2 linked regions of the Notamacropus eugenii genome follow. The protein of the gene in region 1 interacts with the protein of each later gene in a pairwise test. Links are inferred from orthologs where the notes say so. Each region holds a gene or a part of one and is shown on either strand. Other genes may lie near its edges. The genes, in order: JUNB and BATF3.

What was found.
Region 2: the proteins of JUNB (region 1) and BATF3 interact in binary tests that used the Homo sapiens proteins (3 or more experiments, as listed by UniProt). The link is inferred for Notamacropus eugenii from reciprocal best matches to the Homo sapiens genes JUNB and BATF3.

What each region holds. Positions count from the first base shown.
Region 1 is NC_092875.1:78,133,785-78,141,144, reverse strand, and holds JUNB (transcription factor JunB), read left to right. Parts: upstream 1-4,598; 5' UTR 4,599-5,026; coding exon 5,027-6,109; 3' UTR 6,110-6,712; downstream 6,713-7,360. UniProt on the Homo sapiens protein: Transcription factor involved in regulating gene activity following the primary growth factor response. Binds to the DNA sequence 5'-TGA[GC]TCA-3'.
Region 2 is NC_092873.1:425,465,286-425,472,564, forward strand, and holds the start of BATF3 (basic leucine zipper transcriptional factor ATF-like 3), read left to right. Parts: upstream 1-4,048; 5' UTR 4,049-4,269; coding exon 4,270-4,347; intron 4,348-7,279. UniProt on the Homo sapiens protein: AP-1 family transcription factor that controls the differentiation of CD8(+) thymic conventional dendritic cells in the immune system.

The sequences.
Region 1 (7,360 bases):
TCCCCAAGACAAGAATCTTAGTTGTAAGGGACCTTGGAGGTGAAGTAGGCACTCTCTATCTCTGTCTTTCTGTCTCTGTCTCCTCCTCCGGCCTTCTTTCCCTCTCTTTCCCCTCTCCCTCCCTTTCTCTGTCTAAGTCTGTTTCTCTCTCCCTCTTTCTCTTCCTATCTTTATATCTGTGTCTACTTCTGTCTGTAGATCTCAGTCTTTCAGTCCTTTTTCCCTGTTTCCCATCCCTTCAACCTGATATCTATCTCTTTAGCTGACCAAGGCTTGCTGTGGGAGCTGAGTCACCAAAGCCTCTGGGTCCCTGCCCACTCCTGGCCCTGGCTTGGGGGGGTGGGGTTGAACTTCTGGGAGCAGTGGGTGGATGTTGTATGAAGAAGGGGGGCTGGGATAGCCAGTGAATGAGAGTCTGTACCCCTCCCCCAGCAGTTATCTTACCCATTCTCTGTTGTTTCCCTCTACCCCCCCTCCCCTCCCTTATGGGAAAGCCCCTGTAGAGGCCCTGGCCTCCCCCAGCCCAATGGTCTTGCCAGGTGTCAGTCAGGGAGTCATTAGCATGGGCGGGAGACAGGGAGATTGGCATAGTGCCGGCCAGACAGAGCCCAGTTCCCTCCCCACACACATACACATACTATTCTCATACTTACTCCATCCCTCTTGACTGGTCAGTTACAGCCTGGAATATATCTCAGAAGATAGAGACCAGGATGATGGAGGGAACAGAGAAAGGGACCAAGTTGGGGAGAGCAGGGGACGGGGAAAGTGGTGAAGGAGGGACGAACATGAGGCATTGGGCAGGGGTTCAGGTTAAGGAAAAAGAAGAAACATGGTGGTAACCCTGGGGATAAGCAGATACCTAGACCAGACAGAGAGGTTGGGGGTTCAAAGTTGAGGATAGTGTCCTTGTCATGTTTCCTAATCTTCCTCATTGGGGCAGCTAGGTGGTGCAGTAGATAGAGCACCAGTGCAGGAGTCAGGAGGACCTGAGTTCAAATCTCACTTCAGACACTTGACACTCACTAGCTGTGTGACCTTGGGCAAGTCACTTAACCCCAATTGCCTTGTCGTGGGTCATCTCCAGTCATCTTGATGAATATCTGGTCACTGGATTCAGATGGCTCTGGAGGAGAAGTAAGGCACAGCTCTCCCTCACTCAAAACAAAGTCAAGTGCAAGTCATGTCATTATTTCTCTGATGGCATGGTCTTCTTCAGCAACCAAGGATGAACACAGCCTTCCTCATTATATCCCCCTGTCTCCCTCTCCCACCATCTCCACTCGCTCCTCTATTCATCTGTAATTTTTTTATCCTCTCTTCAACTCTATCTGTCTGTATAGCTATCTGGCTCACTTAGTCTCAGTTTCTCTTTCCCTTCTTTCATTTTCTTACTCCACACACAAGCAACCTTCTGCCTTTGGTTCCTCTGTCTGCCTGCATCTCTACCTCTCACTGTTTCTCTTTCCATCTGTCTTTCTCTTTCTGTGTACTCCATCCCTCCCTCCCCCCTCTCCCTTTCTCTCTGTCCCTCTGTTTCTGTCTCTCTTACTTTCTATGTCTCTCTCTATTCCTCACTTTTCTGTTTTTGTATATAATCAGAAATAGATTATCTAACCCAACTCTTTACAAATGAGGAAATTGAGGTCCACAGAAGGAGTCATTTGACCGATGCAGAAGCCGCATCTTTGTCTCTGTTTAGTGTCAGGATTGTAAAGAGATCACGTTGTGCAGACCCTTATAAAGTAATTATAGATGGGTTAATCAGGACCCTGAGAGTGTCTTATACTAGTAAGTGGCAGAAATGGGACTAAAACGCAAATGTCCTGAATGTGATTCAAGTTCCTCACCTTGTAGAAGTACTCCCTGTGTAAAAGTGGGGGCTGGACAGCTCCCTCCAAAGTTACCTTAGCCATCCCCTGGCTGCAGCTCTGGGCCTCTCTGGAAGGGAAGTGAGACTTCCTTTTTGTTCCAGACACACACCCTGGCAGCTGGGAAGTCCCACCTCTGGTCTGACACGAAGCCTCACCATCCTATTTCTACCCAATAATCTCAGCTGTCCTGTGAAATGGGAACTGTCACTCAGTCCCTCTTTCCCACCTTGGGCCCTAGGCTCCTCCGCCACGCCAGCGCCCCGGACCTTGTCCTCCTGGCTGCTTTGCTCCCTTCCCACTCACTCCAACCTCCGCCCCAGGATGGGGTGAAGTCTGGCCCAAGTCTTCCTGGGCTCCCCTGGGATCCTGCCTCAGGGCAGGGGGACAGGACTTGGGTGGGGTGAGGCAGGACAAAGCTGGAGGCCCAGGGGCGGGTGAGATGGGGGGGTGCTGTACGGAGGCGGTGGCCGGGGCTGGTTGGAACTAGCCAGAGAGGGGCCCGGCTTGGCCCCTCCTTAGGACCTGGCAGGAACCGGGTCTCTGGGCTCGGGGCCCCGCCCCTTCCTGTGACCTTATTTGGACTTAGGGCTGAAACTGGGAAGGCGGGACCAGAGTCTGAATCGGGGGAGGGGGACAGGATCCTGGAGGACCGGAGGGGCAGAGATCCAGAGTTTGAGAGCCGGAGCTTGAAGTACAGGGGACTGGAGTTTGAATCTGGCAGGGAAAGGACTTAGGATGCTGGGGGAAAAGGGGTAGGGGATGAATCTGACCCGGAGAGGACCAGAGGAGGCCGAAGAGAGTTCTATGGGGCACCATGGGGTAGAGATTCCAAGGCAGGAGTCCTGGGGGCGGGTGCTCAGGATGCTGCAGAGTGGGATTTGGGGGACAAAGGTTCAGAGGCTGAAGAGTTCTGAAATGGAAGAGTCTCGGGGAACTGGAGAGGAGATCTGGATGAGCAGGAAGAATAACAGAGGTTTAACCAAGAAGGTCAGGAATCTGGAGGGGCAGGAGTATCTCAGGCCTCATTCAACTCTCAGACTGGGAGCCAGGGGCAGGCAATATCCTAGAGCCCCCTTCGGTTACTATGGAGACAATGACAAGAGCTCCACCACCCTGCCCCCATCTCCTTTTCTACGGTATTGTATCACTCCAATTAGGGCTGTATTGGGAACCCCCTTAAAGGGATTCTCTGACTATAGAGGACATTTAGGGTTCCTCTTCCCATTCTCTGGCCCTATTTCCACCCGTGACTTCAGAGACTTGCTGAGGCTTAGGGGAGGGGAGCATTCTCACAGGTAAATTAAACTCAGCAATCCATTCTGGCCTTCCCCTCCTCCCTCAAACCAGCCAATGGTGCAGGAAACCAGGGATGAAGACAAAAAACCGTTAGGTAGCACCCCCTCTTCCCCAAAGTCCAGACCTCCTGCATGTCTCCATCCCCACCAGACTCCTGGACATCTTAGAAATACCCAGAGGAGTCCAACTTTTGGGAATGCTTAAGAGAAAGGTCTCACTGACTTCCAGAGGCAGGCCTGGATCTGTTCCTGTTGGGGAAGAAAGGTGGTTCTATACCTGTCCCTGCTTTGGGGGAACAGTTCCAGAGGCCAGGCACATACCTGCTCCCCTAGGTCCTGTCGAGTCCCAGTTCCTCATACCCATTGCCACATTTCCGTCAGATCTTTCTTAAGCAGGTTTCTAGGGAAGTCAGGGATTGGAGGCACCCAGGGGAGTTCTCCCGGATACCAACCCAGATCCCAAGGGGGAGGGAAAAGGGCCCTAGGCTTGAAGTCAGGAAACCTGCTCTAGATTGGTCTCTGCTTCTTACTACCTTTGGGCCTTCCTCCTTGTAGAATAAGGGAGCTGCCCCATCATATTTCTAAGATACCTTCTAACTGCTAATCTGTGATTCCATGGGTGTGCCAGCTCCCCATAGACTGGGAGAGGAACCTAGGCGTTCTGCCCTTCCCTCTCAGACCGCCTTTTAGGGGAGCAAGAGAGACTGGGATTGGGGGCTAAGAGGAGTAAAGAGGCACTGGAGCTCCTGGTTCATCGATAACCTATGCCACACCCTCCCATCCGCCGGCTTCCCAGTTCTAGGTACTCGGTACCCTTCTAATAGACAGCGAGTAGGGAGGGGTCTTTAGTCTCTGAGAGTGGGGTATGTGAGGGTCAGACAGGGTCCGAGTAGGTTGCAGACACTGCGTGTATAGGTCGGAGGTGTAGTAGGGAGTGGGGAGTTTCGAGGTGTCCGAGTCTTCGTAAAAGGGTCGGTGGATTCCCGTGGGGATTTGTCACAGCAGCTTCTGGGGCTCAATCGCCCCCATCCCCGGGTTGGTCTTAGGATCCCCTGTCTCTTATCTCAGGTCCCCCTCTTCCCTGATCTGTCTTCCAGGCCCAGTCTCTCGGCCTCTCGCGAGCCAGCCCCCTACTCCGGCCCCCAGTTTCCCTGTCTCCCTTGCCCATCCCAGTACCATCCCAGCCCAGCCCTGTCCTTGCCCGGCCCTGTCCCGCCGCCGCTGCTGTTTACAAGGACACGCGCTTCCTGGCAGTGACGCCAGTCTCCTCCTCCCCTTCCCCACGCCGAGCCCGGGCATACTGGGCGGGGAGGGGAAGAGTGGGGTGCGGGAGGAGGCGGGGGCCTGGTTCCCCTGCACAACCAATCAGGGATCGCTTACGCAGCCACCGCCGTATAAAGGCTCTGGGGTACGCAGCGAGGCCGGCAAAGAAGCGGGGAGTCCGAAGGCTGTGGGCTGGGAATGCGAGCTTGAGAACAGCAGGCAGCCATAGAGCCTTGATCGCCCGAGCCAGCTAACAGGGCGCGGCGCAAAGAAGACCAACTGAACCAGGCCAGGACTTGGACTCCTGCTGTCAGATCTGCCTCGCTAACACAAGATCCTTGCCACTGTTTTCTGGAGACTTGAAGGGGTGGGGACGGTCACAGAAGACTGAGTCCGGGAAGAGTGGGGCACAGCAGGGGAACTCAGGTTTAGCATCGAGGTGCGTTCCGGAAGCCAGAAGCGGCTGGTCTGACCCGAGCCTCCCAAAGCGTGCCCCGAGGGCATTCAGGCATTGGAGCTCGAGTGCCTCAGGGGTCTCCTCCTCTCGGCAGAGGGGAGCGCCGGGAGCTACGAGCTGGGCGCGCGGGCGCCTGGATGTGCACTAAGATGGAGCAACCTTTCTACCACGATGATTCGTACCCGGCGGCAGCTTATGGCCGGGGAGGTGCCGCTGCACTGGGACTGCATGATTACAAGCTGCTGAAACAGAATCTGGCACTCAATCTTGCCGCTGCCGCTGACCCTTACCGCGGCCTCAAGGCGCCAGGGCATGGTCGGGGACCGGGACCAGAGGACGCGAGTGGTGCCTACTTTTCAGGACCGCCACCTCCCCCTCAGAACGAGGCCTCTGCTGGGCCGGCGGGCTCGTTAAAGCTCGCGTCTCCCGAGCTGGAGCGCCTCATAGCGCAGAACAGCAATGGGCTCATCACCACAACGCCCACGCCGCCGGGCCAGTACTTCTACTCGCGCAGTGTGACGGAGGAGCAGGAGGGTTTCGCAGATGGCTTCGTCAAAGCGCTTGACGACCTGCACAAGATGAACCACGTGACGCCCCCCAACGTGTCACTGAGCAGCAGCAGTGGCAGCTCCGGAACCGCAGGGCCCCCAGCTCCCCCTAGTAGCGTTTATGGTCCCTCAGCCCTGGGCCCCGAACCACCTCCTGTCTACACCAACCTCACTAGTTACAGCTCCAGTGGTGGTAGTGGGGGCGCGGGCGCAGGGGCCGCGGGCGGCTACCCTACTGCCACAATCAGCTACCTCCCCCACGGACCGCCCTTCCCCGGGGGCCACCCGGCAGCAGTGGGGTTGAGCGCCCGGGCTGCGGGAGGCGCAGGGCCGCTGGCGGCCTTTAAGGAGGAACCACAGACAGTGCCCGAGGCGCGCAGCAGGGACGGGACACCACCCGTGTCGCCCATCAATATGGAGGACCAGGAGCGCATCAAAGTGGAGAGGAAACGACTGCGGAACCGGCTGGCGGCCACCAAGTGCCGCAAACGGAAGCTGGAGCGCATCGCGCGACTCGAGGACAAGGTGAAGACCCTCAAGTCCGAAAACGCTGGGCTGTCGAACACGGCTAGTGTGCTCCGTGAACAGGTGGCGCAGCTCAAGCAGAAGGTGCTGAGCCACGTCAACAGCGGCTGCCAGCTGCTGCTGGCCGTCAAGATGCAGAACTTCTGAGCCCACGCGCGGCCCGCCCACGGACCCGGCTGCGTGACTGACTCTCCCCCTCACGCCCCCGCCGCGCGTGATTCTGCCCGGGTATGGGCGGGCCGCAGACTCTGAGACGCGGGAGGAGGGCAGGGCCACCTGGAGGGCACTGGACTAGACGGAGGGGCCCCGCCCAGCGCGCCTGTCGGCTCGCTCTCTTTCTTCCCCACTCACCCACTAGTTCCAATCTCGAAGTTTACAAGCCTCACCTTGACCTGGGCCCCCACGCCTCTGGGCGACCCTCTGTACTCCCTGTTTTGTACGGTTTTTTTTTTCTGCAGGAAACAGACACGATTCATATTGAATATAATATATTTGTGTATTTAAGAAAGAAGTTCTATCCCCGCGGCGGAGCTGGCCCCGCTGCCTACACACGGCCCGCGCGGTGGCGGGTAGGAGCCCCTAGGAAGGGGTGCTCTCAGCCTGCCACCTTGCCTGCCCTGAGGGTTCCATCGGGTTGTGTCTCCCGGAGCACTTGAGTTTTAAAGTTTATTTTATCATTTTTGTGTGTGTTTTTGTTGTTCTGACTTTTTATTGAATTTATTTAAGTAAAAAAAAAAAGACTGTTTATTATTTATTACTCCTTGGCGTCTTAATGGAAAGATGGGGGAGGGAATGCGGCTGGGGAGGGAAGGCTAATTTGAACCTTAAACCTGGTTCAGCACCTAATTTTTTGCTGGCTGCCTTCTGAGCCTGCCTATAATGGTTGTTTCTGTCCCTATCCCTGTTTATCATCTATCCTATCTATCTATCTCTCCATCTGTCTATCCATCTATCCATCTATGTTCTAGGAGTCTGGCTCTTTCCTATCACTGTCCCTTATATATCTAGTTCCCTTTTCTTTATGTCCCTGTTTCTCAGTCTCTAGCGTCTTAGTGTGTCTCTCCAGTCAGTTTCTGTTTCTAGACTCTTATATTAACAATCTCTTCGTGATTCGGTTCCTGCCGTCTGTGGCCCCGGGCGTCTTAGCCTGGAGGGACAAGCTGTGACGTCGCTGGGGCTTTTTCTCGCTTTGAGGCTGGACCCAAACCTTTCTTTGGCGGAGAAAAAGACCCTAGAGGAGTGTTAGAGTCGGCCTTTGGCTGCGCAAGCGCGGTTCCTCGCGCTAGGGGGCTTTTCCCGGTGACGCACAGGAAGCCATGCCCATATACGGACCGTTTCTGCCCAGTGACGCGCCGGCGGTCAGGCCTATTCCGGGAATCCCCTCCCACGTTGCCCGGC
Region 2 (7,279 bases), on another chromosome or scaffold:
GACAGTCCCCGCCCTCAAGGAACTCACAATCTAAGGGAGAGACAAGCAAACATACACAAAAGAAACAATTACGTAACTCATAATTACAAAGCAGGAAGAAGGGGACCATGAATGAGGGTCAGGAGAAGGGAAGTAGGGGAAGAAGAGTTACAAAAGAATTGGGACCATATGTGACAAAGTAACTCAATATAACTCAATCTGCTCAGGGCAAGAAAAGTTCTGAACTGAGGAGTCAGATAAGACCTGATTTTTCTCATTGTTCATCCTCTTCACAATATTTGGATCTCTTGGTTACCTCTTCCTGGATACTCTCTCCTCTGTGGGTTTTGGGTCATTATTGTCTCTTGGTTTTCCTCCTATATGTGTCTCCAAGGCTCTGTCCTGGGCCCTCTTTTCTTCTTCCTTTCTCCTGTTTCACTTAGTGATCTCATCAGCTCCCATGGATTCAGTTACCATCTCTATGCTTATGGCTGCCAACTCTATATATTCAGGCCTATCTTCTGAGCTCCCATCCTATATTTCCAATAACCTACCAACATGTTGAGCTGAATATCTAGTACATCTTTCAAACTCAAACATGTCCATAGCAAAATTCACAATCTTCCCTCCAAGCCCTCCTCTTGTCCATATTTTCCTGTTAAGGGCACCCCTATCATCATAGTTCTCAACTCCGGTTCTCAACCTAAGGTGCCGAATCATGTCCCTTCTGCCTTCTCAACATCTCTGATGTTCCCTTCTGGTCATTTATACACCACCACCCTAATTTAGGCACTCATTACTTCTTTTGTAGGCTATTACAATGGCCTTCTAATCATTTTCCCTTCTTCAGTTCTCTCCTCTCTCCAATCCATCATACATACAGCTGCCAAAGTGATTTTCCTAAATCACTGCTCATGTCGCTTTGGGGATAGCTAGGTAGCACAGTAGATAGAATGCCAAGCTTGGAGTCAAGAAGACTCATCTCCCTGAGTGCAAATCTGGCCTCAGACATTTACTAGCTGTGTGACCCTAGGCAAGACTTTTAAACCCCATTTGCCTAAGTTTCCTTATCTGTAAAATGAGAAGGAAAAGGCAAAGAACTCCAGTATCTTTGCCAAGAAAACCCCAAATAGGGCCACAAAGAGTCGGACAGGACTGAAATGACTAAACAACAGGTCCCTTCTTCACCCCACCTCTTTCCAACAATAAACTCCAATTGTACCTTATTACTTCTAGGATTCAGTAGAAAACCTTCTAGTATTTAAGGCACTTTGCAACCTGATGCCTTGCTACCTTTTCAGTCTTCTAACTTTAATCCTTTCCATGAACACTAAGTTTAAACAATACCAGCCTACTTAACTGTTCCTTGAACATGACACTGGATCTCCAGTCTCCTTGTCCCTGTCTGTCGCCTGGGCCTGGAATGATTTCTCTCTTCAGGTCTGTGTCTCAGCATCCTTAGTTCTTCTCAAGACTCAGACAACCTTTTGTAATAGGGTCTTTCTCCATCTGCTTGAGCTTTCCCTTCCTAGGTTCCCTTCCTTTGGCTCTGTATGGATCTTGTATTGCTCATTCATTTCCTTGTTGTCTCCTTTCTTGCAATGTGAGCTTTGTAAGGGTAGGGACTCTTTTTGTATTTTTTACTTTCTTAGTATTCCCGTAGTACTAATCTCACAGGATTGTCATGAGGCTTAAACATAGTGTCGGTAAAGTGTTATTATTATTATTATTAAAAGCAAATATCACTTCATTTTTGAAAAAGACACATGGAGATAATAGAGCTGTGGAAGAAAACACTAACAGTTCTAGAATCTTTTCCACAGTCAGTTTTTAGTTCTGCCCATGTTCTTTCAGTTGAGACAATGCCTTATAAAAACTAAACTTTCTCATCCCTATTTCTGATCTGTCTTAGTTAGACAAGTCTATATACTAGCCAAAAAAGCCTATTGAATACTCATTCTGTGGTTTATTTATTTGAATCTGTATTTTAGAAACTAATCAGAGAATTTTGTTGTACGGAGGAAAACACTGACCAGGAAATCAGGAGGCCAAATTCTAGTTCGGATTCTGATACTAATTATGTGATGGTAAACGATTCGCTTAAATTCTCATGCCTCAGTTTCCTCATCTGTAAAATTAGAGTTGCATTAGCTTTAGGGCTCAAAGGGTCCTTAAAATTCCCAGTCCAACCACCTCATTTTCAGACCAAAGATCACACAGGTACTAAGTGGAAAAAGCCAGAATTTCAACCCAGATCCTCTGATTCTAAATTCAGTATTCTTTCCATTATACCAAGATGATCCAACTCTAAAAATCTCCTGTCTTCTCCACTTCTCTTGGCCTCTTTCCTTCTGTTCATCATATGCTTAAAGGTATATGTATATATATACACTGACATGCCTACATATCTTTATATAATACACCTATACATACCTGTAAATGTGATATACACATATGTAAATATTGTAGATATAATGTGTTCGTGTATATGTATGGATGTATATGTATGTGTACATATAGGTGTGTATGTATGTCTGTGTATAGATATATACACATTCATTTATGTGCATATAAATATCTAAACATTTATAAATATACATACACATCATACATACACACATATGACAAACCCCAAACACTGCACGTATTGCCAGTTTTCTGACCTCATTTGGTAACTTAGTGGACCTGCAGAGTCACATTCAGTTTTACAGGCATACTTCGCAGCTCTTTGGACATTTTCAAACATTCCTTCCTTATACTCAAGTGGGCATAGATAGGCCACAGGACACAGACCGGCTGTGTAACCAGTTGAACATTTCTCCTTTGCTGGGATAAATTTCTTGGCCTTCTTGAAGCTAAAGATGTGAGTTGTAGGGTAGGGGAAGAGACCAAGGAGAAAACGGTCAGAGAGAAGCCTGTAAAACTATTTCTTCCTCTTCTGGTTTAAAATGAACCGAAATCCCGTTACTAAGAGATCCAGTCAATGAAAGCCTGAGGAAAAAGAATTCTAGCCTGTTGAATGTGTGGAGTTCCTTTAACCTGTTAGTGGATACACTGAGCCGGTTACATCTCCGCAAATCAGCCACCCCTCCTTCTCCTCCAGCCTTGATACAGAGCAAGCGCTAAGGTGAGGAAAAAGAAAGGATGGACAGACTCTTCTGGTAGCGTTAGAAGCCCAAAATGGACTGTGATGCGATCTGGGAGAGAAAGCACGAAGGAGAATGGGGATGGCATCGAAAGTCTGGGAATAGAGGGCAGCATCCCCGCCTCCATCCCCCTTGCTTTCCATCCTTTACTTAAAAACGTAATTCTCTTTTTGCAGATTTTCAAGGGGACCCAGGCTAGACTGAAAGAAGGTGTCTTGCAAAGCTGTGGCTTGGTCCAAGCTCAGAGAGATTGGCAAAAAGGGGAAAAGGAAGAGGAAGAATGGAGAGCTGGGTCACTGGGATCCTTAAATTAGGGAGGAGCAAATACACCCCGAGGGCAGAGATGACTGTCAGTTCCCTCTGAAGTCCCCAGTCTCTTCAAAACTGGCAAAGGGTGAAGGGGTGAAACTGATGTGAAATTTTTGTGATGATACTTGGGGGAAAAAAACCAACAAAAAAACCCTCCAACTCCAAACCACCCACTTGTTTTTATCTACGTCTGAGAGCTGAGGGTCTCTAAAAGTCCTATGCTCTAGTTTCCTTACTCCTACCCCCTTCTCAAATAACCCCACCTTGTGGTCTCGAGTTCCCTCCCAAGTTTCGAAGACCAACACGTGATTTCCATTAAGCCGGGGGCCCCCCCAGACGAAATGCCTGCGAGGCGGAGAGGGGGGTTGGGGCGGGACTCTGCCAATGGGACCTCGGGATGGGGAATCTTCGTGGAGTTGGGGACTAAGTCAGGGAGGGTAAGGAAGTAAATCAGCACTTGGACAGGGCGGAGAGGGGCGGGATCCCAAGGGATCAGAATTTGGGGAAGGGGTTGTGATCGGGAGCTGGGCAGGGGGGTGGGGAAGAGAGAAAGACCTGCAGCGGAAGGAAGAGGGAGAGTAGAGTGAGAGTGAGATCTGGCAGCCCGAGGGGGAGGAGGAGGTGTGCCTCCAGTCTGGCCCGGGAAGAGAAGGGAGGAGGGAAAAGTCGGCTTGCTCCAGAGCAGGGCCAGGTGCGCTGGCGCGAAGGATGCCCGCGGCCGGAGAATCTCCGTAGGCTGGGAAGGGGCGCGGCGGGCCGGGCTGGCTGCTCCTCCCCCGGAGGCTGCGCCGCGCTGCCCTGCCGGGGGCGGGTCGGGAGCAGCGGAGCTCCCGGCATGTCGCAAGGGCTCCCGGACACTGGCAGCGTCCTGCAGAGGAGCGTCTCTGCCCGCGGGAACCAGCCACAGCCGCAGGTAGCCAGGGGAGGTGGGCAGGCGGGAGGGAGAGGGAAGAGGCTCGGAGAGCCAAAGTAAGTGCCTGCGGCCGCGGCAGCTCTCCAGGCTGCGGTGCTGGGGAGGGACTGGGCGGAGAGGGCCGGGGACAGGGCAGGAGGCACTGGCTTGGGGCAGCAAGCGTGGGGTTGGCGGCGATGACCAGGCTGGAGCCCGGCGGCCGAGGAGTGCTCGCGGCTGCCACCTGAGCTGTCACTTTACCCCCGGGGCTCGGGCACCGGAGCCCGGCGGTCTGGCTGGGGAGAGTCCTGCCTTCGCACGTGGGAACTCAACTCCGGGAGCTGCTCTGTGGCCAGTCGCCAAGGCCTTCCCTTTGCCAGGGCTCAGTCGGGGTCCCTGCTTTCCCATCTCCCAGCCGTAGGGGCAAGGGGACTTTCAGGACCAGTAGTGGAGGAATGGAGGGCTGGGGAGAGGGGTTCCACCCTTGCCCATCCTTCTTCCTCTCCTGCTCTAGCTTCAGAGAATACTGCTCTTAGGGAATGGAGGCTTAGTCCTAATGCCGGGGGAAAGTGGAAGCACTCCGCAGACTGGAGAAAGTCGCCTTAGAAGTCCTTTAGTCAACACCACTCAGTACCAGTAAGGATAAGTGATATGCCTTGCCGATAAAATTCCTGGAAGGATCTCACCTGGAACCTAGGTGCCTTGTTGCTGGACCCAGTACCTCTTCATATCCACTATGCTAACCCCAGCAGCAGGCTTCACGTGAAATACCAACCAACTAGGTCAGCTAACTAGTTTTGTGACGCTGGGCAAGTCGCTTAATCTCTGCCTGCCTCAGTTTCCTCCTCTGCAAAATAAGGATAATTAATAGTAATAGCACCTACCTCCCAGGGTTGTTGTAAAGAACCAATGGAGATAATATTTGTAAAATATTTTGCAAACCTTAAATTGCTTTAAATGATAGCTATTATTGTGATTATTATTAGCTAACTCTCAAGCTTTTTTCCCCTGTGGTCCAGGTCCTCATCCCCTTCAACACACACACGCACCCACGCACACACACAGACACACAGACACAGACACAGACACAGACACACACACACACAGATACACGCACACACCCTGTTTATCTGGCCACCTTCATGGGAAGTAAGTGAAAAGACCACTAGAAATCAGAGCTCAAATTCAGCCTCTAACGGAAGTTAGCGAGAGGACACTTAAGTAGCAGGCATATCTTGAATCCAAGTTCCCAAATATCACAGTAGCCCAGTCAGAATGTGGAATACCCTCAGCTCTGAATAAGGGAGCTAGAGCTCATTTTACAGATAAGAAAGTCCAAGCTCATTAAGTAACTTAATTTATATTAACTCCCTACCAACACAAGTAGTAGGCATAGAGGGTTTGGGGGTAAGATTCAAACCCAGGCCCCCTGATTCCCAAGCCAGTGCTATTTTCATGTATCATGCTGGTCAATATAATTCAGGGGACATTTATTAACCCTTCAAATCAGCACTTATTTGCTTTAATAAATGAGTTTATTTTATTTTTGGAGGCAATCTGGGGTTAAGTGACTTGCCCAGGATCACACAACTAATAAGTATCTGAGGACAGATTTGAACTCAGGTTCTTCTGACTCCAGAACCAGCACTCTATCCACTGCACCAGCTAGCTGCCTCTTAATAAGTTATTTAGAGTGATGGTGATGACAGTGAATAAGCTGGTATGATTGTGTGCGCAGCATAGTATAGACTTTTTTGTTGTTCATACCATTGATTTCATTGGTTTAGAAAACTCCAGGCGAGGAATTTCCTTTTACCAGTGCAGATGTGGGACTTTTGTAGTCTTGGAGAGGGGTCTGAAGGGACCGAAAGGTTGTCCATAGCTGAATAGTCAGAGATAAGACTTGAACCCTGACTCAAGAAATCTGGAGTCAATACTAGCTTGTCTGCAGCAATGTGGGGAGAACATCTCAGACTTGCTTCAGATCTTTTTAGCACAGAGTCATTTTCTTCTGGACGTATGTGCATGTGTTGGAGTGGATTGAGTACTAAGCAATGAGTCAAGAAATTCTGGGTTTAAATCCCTCTTAGCATCTGTGAGACCCCAAGCAAGACATTTAAGCTCTATGCCCTAGAGAACTCCCACTAATTACCTACTGACATGTAGATCTTTGTTATAGGTAGTGTAAGTTCCAATGCTCGGAACCCAGAAGGCTGACAAAATCACTGAGTCTTCTGGTCTTATTCTTTTGGGTGAATGTGTGTGTGTCCAATTCCTTGTCCTTTTTTCCTTGTTAGATGGTAACTTCTTCAGGGAAGACCATAACTTCTCTTTCTTAAGTATCTTCCCATGAACCCCAGCATAGCAAATGCCCAGTCATTATTTTACTAGGTTGTGTTTTTGACCCAAGGTCGTGAAATCTCTGTTTCAACTTGACTATTCAGCATTTCACATTAATTGGCTTTAAGTGTTTGTTCTGTGATAAGCTTTGAGGGATTTGACTGACGTACTATTGTGTACCACCAGAGAGTTTCAAGATGTATTGGTTTAGTCAGTCATCTTCTAAGAAAAGGACTGATTATTAAAGTTTCAAATAGCCATATCTTAGTTTATAAAATTGAGGATTTTTAATGGAATTTGACATGTCAATGTAAGTTACAGGGAAGTATGAGGCATACAGAATGACTAATAAAACCTGCATTTGTGCATTTCATTATTATCAAAAGTTTTTGGGTATCTTTTTGTGTGACACTATGTTGGAGTCTATCCAAAAATAAGTTATACAAAGTCCTTAGCTTTCTGTGAGTTTAAAATCTAAGTCAAGCACCACCACCACCACTGGGTGTTCTATGCACATATCAATTCGATAGAATTTAATTTATCACCATAGTATATAAAAGGTCCTGTCTACATGCTGGAAATATAGAAGCAAAATTAAAAATATTATCTGCCC